Neodiprion lecontei: one gene and its partner. The protein of the gene in region 1 purifies or fractionates together with the protein of each later gene. This does not show direct contact. Links are inferred from orthologs where the notes say so. Each region holds a gene or a part of one and is shown on either strand. Other genes may lie near its edges.

Region 1 (7,535 bases):
TAATTTTCAATTTGACATTTTATAGATTGGCATCATTTCACAAACCCTCCTAGCACCGTATTTGGGGGTGAATGGAAATTAATGGACATGGTTATTTAAAAAAAAAAATTAGGAAACTCAGCCACATATTAGTACGTTACGATTCAAGTGCGCGAAGTATGAGATTTTTGCACTACTGTAGTTTGTCGGCCGAGCGAAGTGCGCATGCGTTTCGTATTCTATTTTTTGTAACACCTGTAATGGGAATTGCCCCCAACCCCACCAACCCCACCACCACCACCACCACTACCACCACCACCATTACCTCCTCACCGAAGAGGCTGCGCGAGGTAGCTAATTCCCCAACAATTCCCAAACTGTTAGGTAATGCCGTACAATTGTTAGGTAATGAATATTACCTAAGAGAAAACTATATCTTAATGAACATCCCCAAATAGTTTTCAATTCTAGCTAACGGTTTTTAAAGTGTAGGGGAATCGGGCGCTTTGCGCGTACTTTTTGGTACGCGAAGTTGAACTTCTCATGCAGGTGTTACAAAAAGATATATTCCTATACTATGGAAAATTAATATAGATGAATACTTTACCCAATTAGTCAGCAAACTGCTGATTATATTAATTATTTCTTATTTAAAACATACGCGTTAAGAATTATGAATTCGTCTGTTGCTGCAGAAGTTGAATATTTGTAAAATACATTTTCACATTCATTTCAAATTTAATATGACTATCAATCACAAAGTGGGTACAATTCTGCCCTGATATTTATTACCGATTCTTCAAGTTTTCCTTCTCGTTACAATTCACGCTTGGCTACAGTTCCTTCAATCTAAGCCTGTAGAATAGTTGAAACAATATTCATCCGTGTAGATATTGCAGAAAGTATAAAATGATGTAGTTACACATGATTGTATCCCCTTTAATATTTCCAAAAATGCTACACCGATTTTACAACTGTAGATGGTGGAGGATTCCGATCTCAATTTAATCCAAATAGAGGGCTGTAACAAAGATTATCAAAAATACACACGAAAAAATAACAAGTACTTGCGGAATATCTTTTACCGATCCCAACTCTTGATGTAGTTGCCACCAAATATACATATTACCTATTTTTGATAATTGTGATACTGCATATTAGGTATGTAGGATAGTGTTATATGCATGAAAAGCTGAATTCATTTTTTTCATTTCAAGATAAAATGATTTATTTACAAATATGATCATACATTCGCATAAAATTTTTTTTTTTGTATTTCATTTTTCAAATATATTTCACAAAATACCCTGATGAGTAGCAGTTACCAATGGGCCGTCATACTTTCAATGAGTAAAAAGTGAAAAGCCAAAATTGAAACTTTTGCGCAGAATTATGGCAAAAAAAAAACTTGTCTGAAAATTTTGTTAAAAAATTATTACAAGATTGCAGTGCTAGAAGGACTAGGAAAAATAACAACTTACCAGGCATCATATAAATCTTAAATTATCATTAAAGTGATACCTCGGTGGGACGTGAATATATCTCAACAACAAAATAACCATCTCAGCTATCTACAAAACAATAACTAGTCACAAGAATATCAAACGACAAAATAACTCGAGCAAAATAAACAGGGACCAAATAACATAGCTAAATAACCCGTGACAAAAGAACAGGAACCGAATAACCCCACTAATCCCACACACACCAACAAATTGCATACAACAAAAACAGTGTTCCATCACCTCGAGATGTTTTGTCTATGGTTATTTTGTGTTATAAAGTTTTGTCTCATGATATTATTGTTGTGGGTTATTATTGCTGGGGTTATTTTGCGAGATATTTTGTTGTGGAATTAGATGTTTTGAGATATTATTACATGTAACTGATATCTCTTCCTGTATCGTATCTGTCAGTATTTTTGTATTTGTGAAACCACATTAAAATTTGACGGTATTAAAGGCACTACTCGTTGCATTCCACAGTTTCAAATGGAAAGACCAATCGGGTTTAATGCATACTCTTGTGATTAGTTTGAGTAATAAACTATTTTGAAACACTGAGCACAAACTTAACAAACAGTATTTAAAATACACCTTAACTAAAACCATACGGACACTTATGAAAAAAAGTTTATTTTTCACAGATGCAATAATCACTATGTACACGATTCTGTACAAAAGTTTAGAAAAAATAATCGACGAATTCTACCTAGGGTAATTCTTAATAAATAGTAATAATTACCAATAAATATGTACATTAGAACATTGTTTTGCTTATTACGACTGTCTCTCCCACTTTGTTAATTTTTAACTCACACACACACACTACCTGCTTTAGCTTTTATAAAAAGGTTGCTATTTATAATTGTCAGAAAGTAGTCGGTCATAGCCTATGGAAATATACAATTTCTTAAAAAATAATTATTCTTACACTGTGGTATTTCAAGATAACAAATTCACCGAAACTTTCATAGAATCAAGCTATAAGATACATCACTGACTTGATTGGTATCTTGAAATCAGTATTGTTATGTTACTAGCAATGAACTTCAGTACATTGTTATACATTATTCTCGCACAATTATACTCTTCAAAATTCAATGTTGACATTTCTGCATGAATCAAAAGCTCACTTACGAAGACTTTGAGCATATTTAACTGTGTAGAGTTAATATAATTAATAATATAATTTTTTCAATTACGTATAGGACATAATCGAGCGCTCAAAATATCCACGCAATAGCAATTGCTACGATGCTTAACCATCAGCATTAGCATTTAGAAGGGTAATCGAGTCAATGTACCAATACTAGCTTGGTTGGCAAGTGAGTGAAATGCAACCTAACCAGATTCAAACTACAGTAGAGCGTCTATTATTCGAACTAATTGGGGGTGGCAATCATTTAGATTATCGAGTTTTCGTATAACCAAACAGTGTGGGAATCAACCCCTAATTCGTTGAACGTAATAGAATATGTACATAAAACATCAGATTCAATATCGGGGCTCACTTTTTTCACAGCTCTGCAGATGAGTAGGAACTGACACTGGAAAGCCAAATGTGTGCAAACTCCTGTCTGGTAGGTGGAGAAGAGGTACGCCGTGCAAGTTTGTGCTTACAATGTCACACAATAATATATGTAGCGGCCTATTATGCGAAAAACCGGAAATTCAAAGTAAATAATCTTTATGATAACTGACGATTTGGATAAACCGAATCATTGCTCTGATAATTAATATTTTGGATAACTGATGTTCAGAAAATTAATGCTCTACGGTATAAACAGTTCAATAAACAAGTTATGTACGCAATCGTCGCCAATGCTTCGAATTGCGATGCTCATTTTTTACACTTATCCATTATTTATACGCGTTTTTTTGGACTCGCCTTAGTGGAAGTTCTACTTAAACGTAGATATATTTTAACAGACTATCCTCGCGTGGCACATGCTTGAGAGAGTGTTGCAAGTTTACTTCAAAATTTTGCAAAAAGTGTTAGCCATCCAAAGGTGGTCCAAGATATACCATTGAAACTTCTGTATTACCATAAACAGCCGATACGGACGGGTATAATCTCTTGTCGGGTAATCCTGTACAAAAATGTCCACTTCATTAGAAAATACATGAACCAACTATGACAAAATTAACATTGTTGGCAAAAACAATAATATACCTCTAAACGCTACGCCCAGGAATTCATAGTTTTTTTCAAAGGACAGTGTGTTGTCATCACAATCCAGTATTACTCTTATTTTCTCACCAATCTGAAATTAGATAAGCTTTTAATAAATTGATGTATCATGTGCTAGAAATTCTGAATTTTCATTTCAATAAAAATATAAACGAGCTCATACCAAGTAAATTATTTTGCATAAGTTTTTCACTCTATAGGACAGATTTGTGAGAAATTAGTAGAAGTTGATAAATTTTCAATTTAATTGGTGGAAAAATTTTTCAACAAATCTTACAAAGTACATGTTGCTGGAATTTTCATTCAAATGAACATTTGGCATTTGAGTCACACCGCGCATTGACTTCCTGAAATTTGGTGCCTGCAATTTGATGGATAAGAATATGTAGCAAATTATCAGCTTACCTGATACTTTGGAGCGTTGTTAAGAAGAGGATAATTGCCTTGTGCATCCCCATTGTGTAACAAATGATTGTCGACAAGGTTCCATCCCCAAGAGTGTTCGTCGGAACCAAGTAGAGCTACATACCCTTGGCAGAGTAGAGATGCTTCTTTCGTTGCTATTCCTATCACAGCTACGGTTCCCAAAGGACCTTCCCAAATTACCTCCCACGCATGACGTCCATGGCGGAATCCTATCTTACTCCGAGAGGCATCTGTACTTTGAGCGACTGGATTTCTGGAGGTTGAAAATGAAGCGAATATTGGAATGAAGAAAATCGCTTGGTTTGTGTGAAAATTTAAAGTAACGGGTATGTTGTGTGCATTGAAGTCAACTCAATCACAGCACGTGACAAAACGTAAAATATACTGCTATTGCACCTACCGGTGCAAAGTGAACCCGTTTGGTTTGATGTAAATATTGCGGGAACAATCGTCAGGGTTCCAAGCATGGTAAAAAGCTCGTAATTTGGCTTTATAGGTGGGAACCGATGACAGCAAATCCGACTTGAGCGCTTCTTCAGCGAGTTTTCTAATACAGTGTAACCGCCATACATCATTATTCTCATCGTTCAAAATTCTATACCAGTTCTTACACACCAAGGAACAATTTCGCAAATCGTGCAATTTTAAGTAGGAAAATATCACTTCTAAAACATGATCGGGAACCCTTGACGCTATATCGTCCATTTTGCCGGTCCTACGTGAACGACGGAACAAAATACAGGTGGGATGGAAAGGAAACGAAATAGGGAGGTCGTTCTGCACTGTGATTCGCAGATACATTGATTCACTGACGTTTTGTGTAGTAGCGCTGAGTTCCCCAGCTACACATAATTCGATACTCAATGACTGAAGTTTGCGGTAGACGGGGAACGATGAGGAACGGAGCGAACCACGTGATCAGCACTGGCCAATCAGCTGTTTAGCTTTGTGCTACCGCCAAGCTCGTCTCGGCTCTACTTGCACTAAAAAGCTGTATTTTACTGACGCGTTGTTAATGTCGTGATAACGATTCAACGAGAAGCTGTGTGTCGCGCACGATAGCGCGGTTAGTTTATTTTGATAATTCGCAATATTATTGATACTTGGTAACCGGGTTTTTACAATATTTACTTCACAAATAGTGCAATGCCGGAGTCGCCATTTTGGTGATACGTCGAGTCCGACCTAACTATTGCACTTATGATCTTTTTATTTTCACGCGAATTTCAGTCCGCTTACGGGATCATATTTGATACCTTCGATATCCAGAAGCATCAGTGATGACCCAGCAAAATAAAACGATGAATTTCTTGATACACGACGCAAATGGTAAGTCGTCCAACTGGCGCGCCAACAATCGGCACGCACGGCTCCGTCTCTGAATATTCCTTGTCGAATGAAGTGTGAAACAATACCTCGTGCGATCAACCGAGGAGCGCGTTTTCTAACCAAATTTCACGATTCTTATATTTCGCATATCCATTTCTATTTGGATTCGTCAATTTGATCGCAGGCTCCTTGCTAAACTCAATCACGTTAAAACGTGTGTTTCGCGTTTACTACCAGAATACCGCGAACGAAAGAATGCAATTTTTGCAATCTTTGTTTGTAACCGAATCTTACATTAATAATCTTGATCGAGATTTCTTTCTAAGGATTTACAGAATATCCCAATCACTTTCATTTACTTATCGATAACTAGAACATCCCACTGTATAGTTCTGGATTTCCTTACGTTAAACTTACAATTTACACATTGACACTGACAAATTCTCTGTTCTTTTATTGATATACTTGTGGAATCCATGAATAATAAACAAACATATTTAGTACTGCTCGCGTGATTGTAATTGGTTCACTTTCATTGAGAAATAGCTATTGGAAATTGAAGATTAATGTTAAATGATATTGCTGTTTGGTATTCCTATTTTAGTTAAACTAGCTGTATTGTTTTCACGTAATAACGTGTATTGATAATCAGTCGTACACTGAATATCATTCTTGTAGATCTCAATTAGGATATAAATAATTCATTATTGTTCTTCTTAGCAACAAGGGCATTCCTTATTTGCCTTCAAGATCAATCAGTTGATTTGCCTCTAAAATTTGTGTACTACAGCAGCATTGACTCTTGAAGGACGAATGCCATTCAATATGAAATCTTAAATATTTCAGTATTCCCTACTGCTAAACACTTGATACTACTCAGAAGAGCCATCTAATGTACATACATTAGTTGATTAACTGAAGTTTTGGATCATATAAAATTGTTAATCTGTGATATTTTAAAAAAAATAAACTTTCTTACAGGCCAACCACAAGTTATTAAAGTGGTTCCGAGCACGCCGAATAAAGCACTAACTGGGCTTGTTAGCACCACAAATTCCGGGAGTTTGAAGGTATTCAAGACACCTGGCCAAGATACCCAAGTAAATATCATTTAAAATATATAATCAGACTCGCAACATTTGTATCATTTTTCTAATAATTACCATATATTGAAAAATTGCTCTACCAATATTCAACAGGTTTGCAAACATATTTTAATTATGTTATACAATGAGTACAATCCATATTATTCTGCACTCCCATCTTGAATATTTTTTACGGTTCCCATTTGTATGACTACTGAGTATGGTTCATAAAGCTTTCTAAGATGACACTGAAGCTCATATTTATAGACCTATTCGGATGAGCTGATTCATATCACAATTTAACCCAATGGCCACAAACAGGAGTTCTCAAAACAAAAATTCAAACTGTCTCACAACATATAGTATTTCTGACGTGTGCTATCTTGTACATTTTTTAATCAAGGGATTCAATAGATGATACGCAGAATTATCCCCGCCTGCTAGTGTAAGCTTCCAGCTTCTAGCTTCAACTTTGTATTTACAGGGTGCCCAGTGGTCAGTTAAATGTGTAGCAATTCGGGGGATATTGAATCACTTAGTGAGTGGGCACCCTGGGTTCATTGTGATGATATTATGACCATTACTGTTTGCACACTCAGGTCTTGTCCAGTGGGACACAAGTACTGAGAACCATCAGTTTGCAAGGTTCTTCAACACCTGGTCAGCGTGAGTATTACAGATTCTTACCTAGTTTCTTGCAGTACATATTGACGGATCCTATGAAAACAGAAGTATTTCGATGGGTCGGATAGAACACTTATATTTTGCCGCGCAATCTAGAATGGATGTAACTTAAAAAGTGTTACAGCATGTCCATACAGAGCTCTATACACAACTTTTAGCATCTTTTAAGATAGATCCGTTTTAGGTTACCCAGTGAAATACGGCCTTTCTATCTGGACTGTCAAAATATGTTTGTTTCTATAGGACCCATCTATATATCTGTCTTTTCAGTTATCAGAAAGTTCACATTTCTCATGTAACAAAATATTTTTCTATTAGGCTTAGTTACCATCCCTGTAC
Region 2 (7,535 bases), about 30 Mb from region 1:
TTTTAGAATTATGATACAAACATTATATTCGAACAAATTGTATTATTCGTTCACTTACCAGTATGATGGAGACCGCATGCAATTTGTACAACAGGACTATCGGCTGGTATCGACAGTTTAGCTGCTGGAAGGCTGGATACTCGAGCGGCATCTCCTCTCTCCAAATCGCTTCCACCAATACCTTCTTCTGCTTGAACATTAGTGGGTACCGCTATGGCACCCTTTCCTCCAGATCCCTTCAGAGGAATGACGCTTGGCCCTGCTACAGAAACAAGTTTTCGACACAGTGTGAATATTTGAATCATATTCAAAATGTCGATAGAATCACTCCAAAAAAAAACATTAATAAATTACCGGATCTTTGGTTGTTGCCACCCTTAATTTTCATAGCGTATTTCGTCACACTTGGACCTGGTTTACCTCTCTGTCTCTGCCGTCTCTCCTCGAATCTTTTTTGTAAATGATCTTGCAGCTTAACCCCATGTCGCGCTGAAGTGAGAATTATTTTAATTTCACGTTTTTATAGCCAAATGACGTAAGTATAATTACTTACGTATCTCAGTTACATATAGGATTAATAATGAGCGTAAGAATTACCTCCAAACATCACGTCTAGTCTCATCATATCAGTTATATCGCCAACTCCGGAAGGTCCCAATACTGCTAGTTCGCCACCGTTATCGACGCTCTCTCTTGCACAAATACGACAACAGCCACACTCTGCACAGCCACTATCACCTTCTCCACAACCGCATTCTCTGCGAGATAAAAGAACATTCAAAACTTGCGAACTTTGTATGTCGTAAACATGGTTCAACAGGGGTATTGTAAAAATTTGCGGCAACTTCCTGAAAAAATAAACAACACGTAACATTCAGTTTCGTTAAATTACTTACTGGCCAGGATTTCGATCTGGACGAATACTGCTCAGACAACTTATACTGTATCCGGTACACTCTCGACACACAGTGCACACCATGCAAACTCTACGTCTCCACTGATGCTGCCCTGCTGGGCACATCCCAGCTGCTTCTTCCCATTCATCGCTTGGACCTCTACCATCTACAATTGATTTGATAAACGTGAATTGTATGCCCTTGTAGCATTGACAATGTTTAAAAGTAACGATTTATTCAATTTAAGGCATTTTTTGACAAGCTATTGGTATTGCAACCAAGGTGTACAAAGCAATATTGTGTATCAAGTAATTTATACTTTTGTTCATTTTGCTACCTATTCCAGCAGCTTGCCAAAAAATGCCTTTACTTACCCTCTTCAGCAACAATCAGTTCGTCTTCCCCGATACCGGTTTCCATTGCCACAACAGTAACTTCCTTGTTTGTAATATGAGTAGTTGTGAAGTCTCTTCCACATTGTCCTTTATTGTTTATTCCGAAAGTGTAAACCTGTCCCTTGTTGGTCAAAACGACGGCGTGAGCTTTTCCAAGTGAAACATGTGCCACGTGAACGTCACTCAAATCGGTAACAACACCGGAAACATTGTCGCAGTGCGTTGCATCTTTCCCAAACATCAACAGAGAGCCGTCTTTCGTTACTAATGCTGTTGATCCATTATTGCATGCTGCATCTACTATAAATTGTCCCTCAACTTTGAGCATTTTCTTTGGTTTAACTGGTTTTGGCTGCCGTCTAGCCTTATCTGAAAATTTTATCGACAGACTATGACAAAGAATCGCAGCTGGATGTACAGAAAATGGAATTGATTTGCTTGAAAAACTGCAGTGAGATGAATGGAGAAACACAAAAAATAAAACCCACTATTATCGCCATCTTCCCCACGCCTTGCAGTTCCAACAAATAATACAGATCCATCTTCCAGCAGTATAATGGCATGCTGACCATCGTGGCCTGCAGCAATGTGAGTTACTCGTGGTCCTTTTCCCAGAGTTAACTCTGACCACCTGTTAGGCCTTCCGTTACCCTTGATCCCTAAAGAGCTTCCTTTCCCACTGTATAATACCTGTTGCAAAACAGCGGAAATGAGCATAACTTCGTTATTTGCTGCATGCGAGCGAATATTCTTCAAATCATTATGAATATTGGAATCAATTGCAGTCTATGGTGTTTCAAAATTACCTTTCCAGTAACAGTTCTCAGCAGGGCAAATTCTTTGCCTGCTGTAACAAACGAGACTTCATCGTCGCATCCAATACTCAGTGTATGTACATTTTGTTCTTCATCGAACGATGCTGAACCAATGACATCGACACATTTTCTCGCCAATTTCAGTGGTAGCTCGGATGTGACTGTCACAGGATTACTCAATGTATTGATTGTACGAACGACGAAGCCCTCCTGTAGAAAAAGCCGGCGGGATTCAATTTTTATTTAATTACAAGTGCCTAGCATATTCAAAAATCGAGTATTCTCATTTTCTGCTTACATATTCCAGTGAACTCACATCTTTGGCTGCAGTAATCATGCCCAAATTTTCTCCATCAGAGAACATAACGGAGGCAGGCCAGTCACGTCCTTCTAATACCGCCACGCCTCTTACCATCAGAGTTTCCGTATCTAATATCAATAATTCGCATTGTTTCCTAGGCGTGCACTTAAAATATAACAGTCCCTGGAATAGAAATATATAGATAAATGTAAATAAATACAGAGTGCCAAATCATTGTGTAAATAATATGTATATGATTGAACTAACGTTTGCAAATCCAAGCCATCCGGTCTCTGTTGGGTAAAAGTCAGCTTTGTGAGCATATAGATGCCCCCAAATTGTTCCACCATGTCCACTGCCAATCTTCAACAACCCACGACAGGTGTGTAAATACAGGTACTTTCCATCACTTACAAAACTTCTCCCATTGAGCACAACATTACTCATTTCATTTGGTAATTTAAGCGTAGATGTATTAATCTTAGAACTTTTAGGAACTCCATGTGTTATCCAATCAGGCCTTGCTAGCTTACCAAGCAAAACGCTATGGACACTTCTTTGTAATGCAGTCAACACGCATGGCATCTGTAGTGAGAGAATTTTGTAATTGAAGAATTTTAATAGACGAAATTCAAAAGGCAAACACATTGTCTGAACCTACAGACATACACCAGGGTCACTTAATAAGAATATGTATTTCACCTGAATATTTTGAGCAGCCAGTGCTCGTGGGCACATGAGTAGCGCAGCAGTAGCTGCTAGAATTTGACCAGTATCGCCTCTAACTACAACCAAACTCAGCAAACATGCACAAGCAACTGCGGTCAGGTGACTGCCATCGTTAGCCGTCGCCGACTCAGGTCCATGAGACGTTGCAAGATCCAATAAAAGATCGAAAAGTGGATCTGAAAGAAATAAATTACATTTTACAAAAATCTGAGGACATGCGTTTTCTCATTGTACCCTCAGCAGCTCTGTCACTTACCAACAACATCATCAGGCTCAGATCCGAGACCTTCAGGAAGTTGGCCTTGCAATACGTCCAGTAATGCACATAATGCTTTTGTGCATAATTGAGGCTCGACGGTTCTACTTTCACGCATCAATGTAAATACACTACGTAATCCAATGCCGACAATCTATGAAAAAACACATTATACCGTTGGATATTTTTTGAAATCAGATACGATTAACGGTTAAATGATTGTACCTTATTCTCAAAGATTTAAAATGGTCTATTCGATATGTACGATATCTTTCATTATCCAAGGACCTTGGTACTAGTATTATGTCATTCTGTGCCTCTGGCTATTACCGACACCAATAACCTTACATGGCAATAGCCATAGGCAGGATAAATAAATTTTCTGTACAAACTCACAAATGGTTTTTATCAATCATATCATGTATCAGCTGCAAATTGATCGTAAGAAGCTCCTAAAGTTATGAAAGGATTTTGAACAAAGCAAATTGGGGATTAGCTTCCATCGGACGAACAGTTCATTTTTACCTTTGGTAAATTATGTGGGGCTGAAATCCTAACTTCCTCATCACTGTCACTGTCAATGGTATCGCTGAGCTCGGGCAAAGGCGGTGAACTGCAGCTCGAAGCTCTAAATACCTCGGTTGTAGCTCTGGCATGTTTCTCCAACACGGCAGCTCTTACACTGGCAAAAACAGCAAAGGCCGATGCATTGCTGGGTAGCTCTACTTCTGGAGGACCGTTATAGCTTACGTCGCCATTCACATCCAACTGGAATTCATGTATCTGAACATAGTTATTTTCTTCCATTCTGTTTTAAAAGTTTTTTGTTTCTATTTTGGAATTATATTTTCCGCTACTGTTATTGTGTAAACGACATATGCTTTGAACAAATATAATCAATTTAATTTGAGGCTCTATTAAACGTGGAAATGTAAGTATTTGTTAAAATTATTAAGATAACCTTGTTTTTCTTGTCTTTTTTTTTGGCGGTCTTAGACTTCTTAGATTTTTTCCAATCTCCCTTTCCCCTGCGAATAAAAATACACGATGAGTACTATCGTCAAGTTTTAGATTGAGTTTTTTCGTGACAGATGAAGTCACCGCTGTAAATGTTGGGTAAACAAACGTAACGGTTTGAGAGGTTATACCTTTGAATGTCCGCTATATTCCTGAACAGCTCGTGAAAGTATTTGGCATAGTTGTCAGGCTCGGGTAAGAATTTGTCGACATCACCAGACACCATGGTTTAGTAATGATAAATCCGATTAAATAAACTACCGCAAAAATCACTTGGTCACTTCATTTTGGTTATGTTATTGATCGTTGACACTTTTCCCATGTGATCACACTTATTTATAAATTTCTCTAATTATCCAGATAGGAGAAAACATTTTCACAATTTGAACAAACTTGATTAATGTTATCAGATTACGAAAAATTAAAAACTAACGATTACTTAATATCAATTTATCAATTATATCATTAAATTACAGTTCTCATTCCCCCAATTCGCTTAACCGTACAGCTGCAACGTTTATCGTGCTTGAAAGTTGAAAACACAGATATGAGATTTCCGTACATCGATATCTCGAATTGCGATTGAAGTTGACTGCAATGCAGATCGATTCCACTGCCTATCGAATTTTTACCGTCGCGAAACACCGCATTTGAATGGTTCGACGCCAGAATTACATCGCAAAGTGTGGATATGTACTGCAAAAGAAATTGTTCATAGTAGAATGACAATGAAAATACCAAATCCTGTCACAAAACAAGTCTTTCGATGCACCAACGGTTTGAAAATGATTTTCAGACTCAATAAAACTCATTTTTCCAGTCAACGTTTATATTCTCAACTGCAATTAAGTTTGCTGCTAATCAGAATGCAAATTACTTATCTCAAGCATATATTTCAGCTTGAAAACAAAGGTGGCGTTGAAACATCTAATTCAAAATTTCATCAAATATCACATTGATCAGAATAATTTCTTGAAATAATCTTTTTTCTACCGATGGTTAATGGTATAATTGTCCCAAATTACCTTCACAGTTAACTTTTGCACATTACTCAATATTTTTCAATTAATATGCCATCTTTCCTCTGTTTTTATGAAAATTCGCTAAACAATGCACTGCGATAACAGCATGAGATCGTTAATTAATAACTTCTTTCAGCTACACTCGAACCGTTCCTAGACATGTTACAATTAGATAAGAAATCTCACTGGCTCGCTCGCTCGAACTCGAAGCCGCAAAAACCACGTCGAAAGCGGAAACATCGGGAAATAAAACTACGCGAGGCGAAGCAATTTTTATAGACAGCAGTAAATTAGATCCAATCGCTGCAATTCTCGGACGATAATGCCGCTGGAGTTCCCCGAGTTAGCGCCACTCGCGTGGTTTCCCGGCTCTCCCCTCCTTCCAGTGCCTCCTTCAGTCAGTTTTCACTCGTATTTGCCCCAGACTTTTATCCCCACCTCGACCATACTGCACCACACCTCATTAAACTGCTGAATGAAGCCGTAGAATAATCTGTTTACACCGTACGAGGTTAGGTCGATGATTTTTTTTTTTTAACAAGTTTGTTTTGCATCCGACGCATGCATATATCTAAGTGATTTGACAGAGAGATTTGACGTAGAACAGCGACTTGTAAATATTCGCTATTTAAAAATGAGTAACGAGGCGCAAATATCGAACATCGTCAATGACATTCTTGTAAGTGAATTTTTAGGTTTGACATTACTTCAATAGTTTTCCCACATTTTCAATAAGTTTTATCTCCTTACTCGCGATATTCTCACTCAGCACTGCACTTCTGCATTTTGCACTATTTGTCGAAGGTACGACTTGTTTTTCCATCAAACAATTAATTGCTATGCATTTTTATTACACGCAGAGAGTGGAACCTATCGAAGAAGCATTCAGCTGTTTTCTCGTTCACCATCTGGATAATGAAATTGAAAAAATAGCAGGATTGCAGTCAGAATTAACATCTGCTATGACAGGTCTCAATACTGAACAACAAGAGAATGGCGTTAGACAATTTCTTAACATGGCTGCTGCGCTGACGAATCATAGTCGCTTACAACTTCTTCTGTCGTTACTGGAGAACTTGGTCATGAGTAACGTATTACCTGCAAGGTACGAAGCTACGGGAGACGCAAGAAAATTAACAATTAATAAATTCATTATCATCATTTAACGACTTTCCAGATTGGTTTGCGAATGTATCCTCAGCTGTGATAAGCTGCAGTATCAGCAAGAGGATTTTTGGGTCGAGTCTTTTAACCTCATCAGACGGATCATTGGAGGAGTGGATTACAAAGGTGTCAGAGAAATAATGAAGGCGGGTGGTCATTTCTATGCTATCATATATCGTGGAATAAATATTACACGATTGAAATCATAGCTGAAAAATGACTATACTCATAAATTTTTCCATGATCTTTCACAGGGCTGCAGAGAAAAGGCACAAACGATACCAGCAAGACTTAACGCATCTGTACAGCCGCAATTAAAGGCGCTGGAAAATGTTATCGAATATATATTTGACAGAAATGCATGTCTATTGCCTGGCTATTTTATTGTTAATGAAATACAGAAGGCCTATCCCGATAATAAGAATTGGCCGCATTGGGTGAGTTCAAAAAATCTCAAGCTAATGCTTGACAATGTTCACGATTTAGAATCGCAAGTGCTTTTCTATTTTGCTTACCAAATGAAAATAATGTATTATTTCTTAAATAGAAATTAGCAAAACTGCTCTCTGGGTTTGTCGAGAGTTTCAGAGCCACTGCGCAAATGGTGTCTATAATCGGGCACTCAAAAATGCTACCCGTAGTAGAGCACTCTGGATATGCGGACCATGTCATCAACCCATGGAGGCTCGATCCTACGACCCTTAAATTCTCCCTCAAAGGCAATTTACCCTACGATCAAGATTTGCTAAAACCTCAAACCGAACTTTTAAGATATGTCTTGGAACAACCGTACAGCAGAGATATGGTTTGCTCCATGCTAGGCCTCCAGAAACAGGTTCGATGAATGAATTAATCAATTCATTATCAGGTGTAATATATTCAAATTCAGTCAGGCGAAGAATATTTTTGATTGAATAAAAACGTAATATACGTCACACGA

Evidence for each region.
Region 2: the proteins of F-box/SPRY domain-containing protein 1 (region 1) and E3 ubiquitin-protein ligase MYCBP2 purify together in Caenorhabditis elegans (affinity purification with western blotting; 3 studies listed by BioGRID). This does not show direct contact. The link is inferred for Neodiprion lecontei from reciprocal best matches to the Caenorhabditis elegans genes fsn-1 and rpm-1.

What each region holds. Positions count from the first base shown.
Region 1 is NC_060261.1:34,103,069-34,110,603, forward strand, and holds F-box/SPRY domain-containing protein 1, read right to left. Parts: upstream 4,840-7,535; 5' UTR 4,804-4,839; coding exon 4,499-4,803; intron 4,352-4,498; coding exon 4,078-4,351; intron 3,746-4,077; coding exon 3,655-3,745; intron 3,572-3,654; coding exon 3,477-3,571; 3' UTR 1,255-3,476; downstream 1-1,254. Other genes in the region: transcription factor Dp-1, read left to right, coding at 5,379-5,427, 6,409-6,527, 7,112-7,178, 7,515-7,535. UniProt on the Caenorhabditis elegans protein: Component of a SCF (SKP1-CUL1-F-box protein) E3 ubiquitin ligase complex which is required for the restriction and/or maturation of synapses in GABAergic neuromuscular junction (NMJ) presynaptic neurons.
Region 2 is NC_060261.1:4,256,588-4,264,122, reverse strand, and holds the start of E3 ubiquitin-protein ligase MYCBP2, read right to left. Parts: upstream 5,106-7,535; 5' UTR 4,636-5,105; coding exon 4,541-4,635; intron 4,421-4,540; coding exon 4,354-4,420; intron 4,161-4,353; coding exon 3,918-4,160; intron 3,547-3,917; coding exon 3,393-3,546; intron 3,313-3,392; coding exon 3,110-3,312; intron 2,993-3,109; coding exon 2,675-2,992; intron 2,591-2,674; coding exon 2,423-2,590; coding exon of another isoform or gene 2,405-2,422; intron 2,317-2,404; coding exon 2,098-2,316; intron 1,982-2,097; coding exon 1,780-1,981; intron 1,661-1,779; coding exon 1,271-1,660; intron 1,063-1,270; coding exon 897-1,062; intron 759-896; coding exon 598-758; intron 490-597; coding exon 355-489; intron 263-354; coding exon 59-262; intron 1-58. Other genes in the region: mediator of RNA polymerase II transcription subunit 23, read left to right, coding at 6,066-6,110, 6,292-6,536, 6,609-6,741, 6,850-7,032, 7,143-7,430.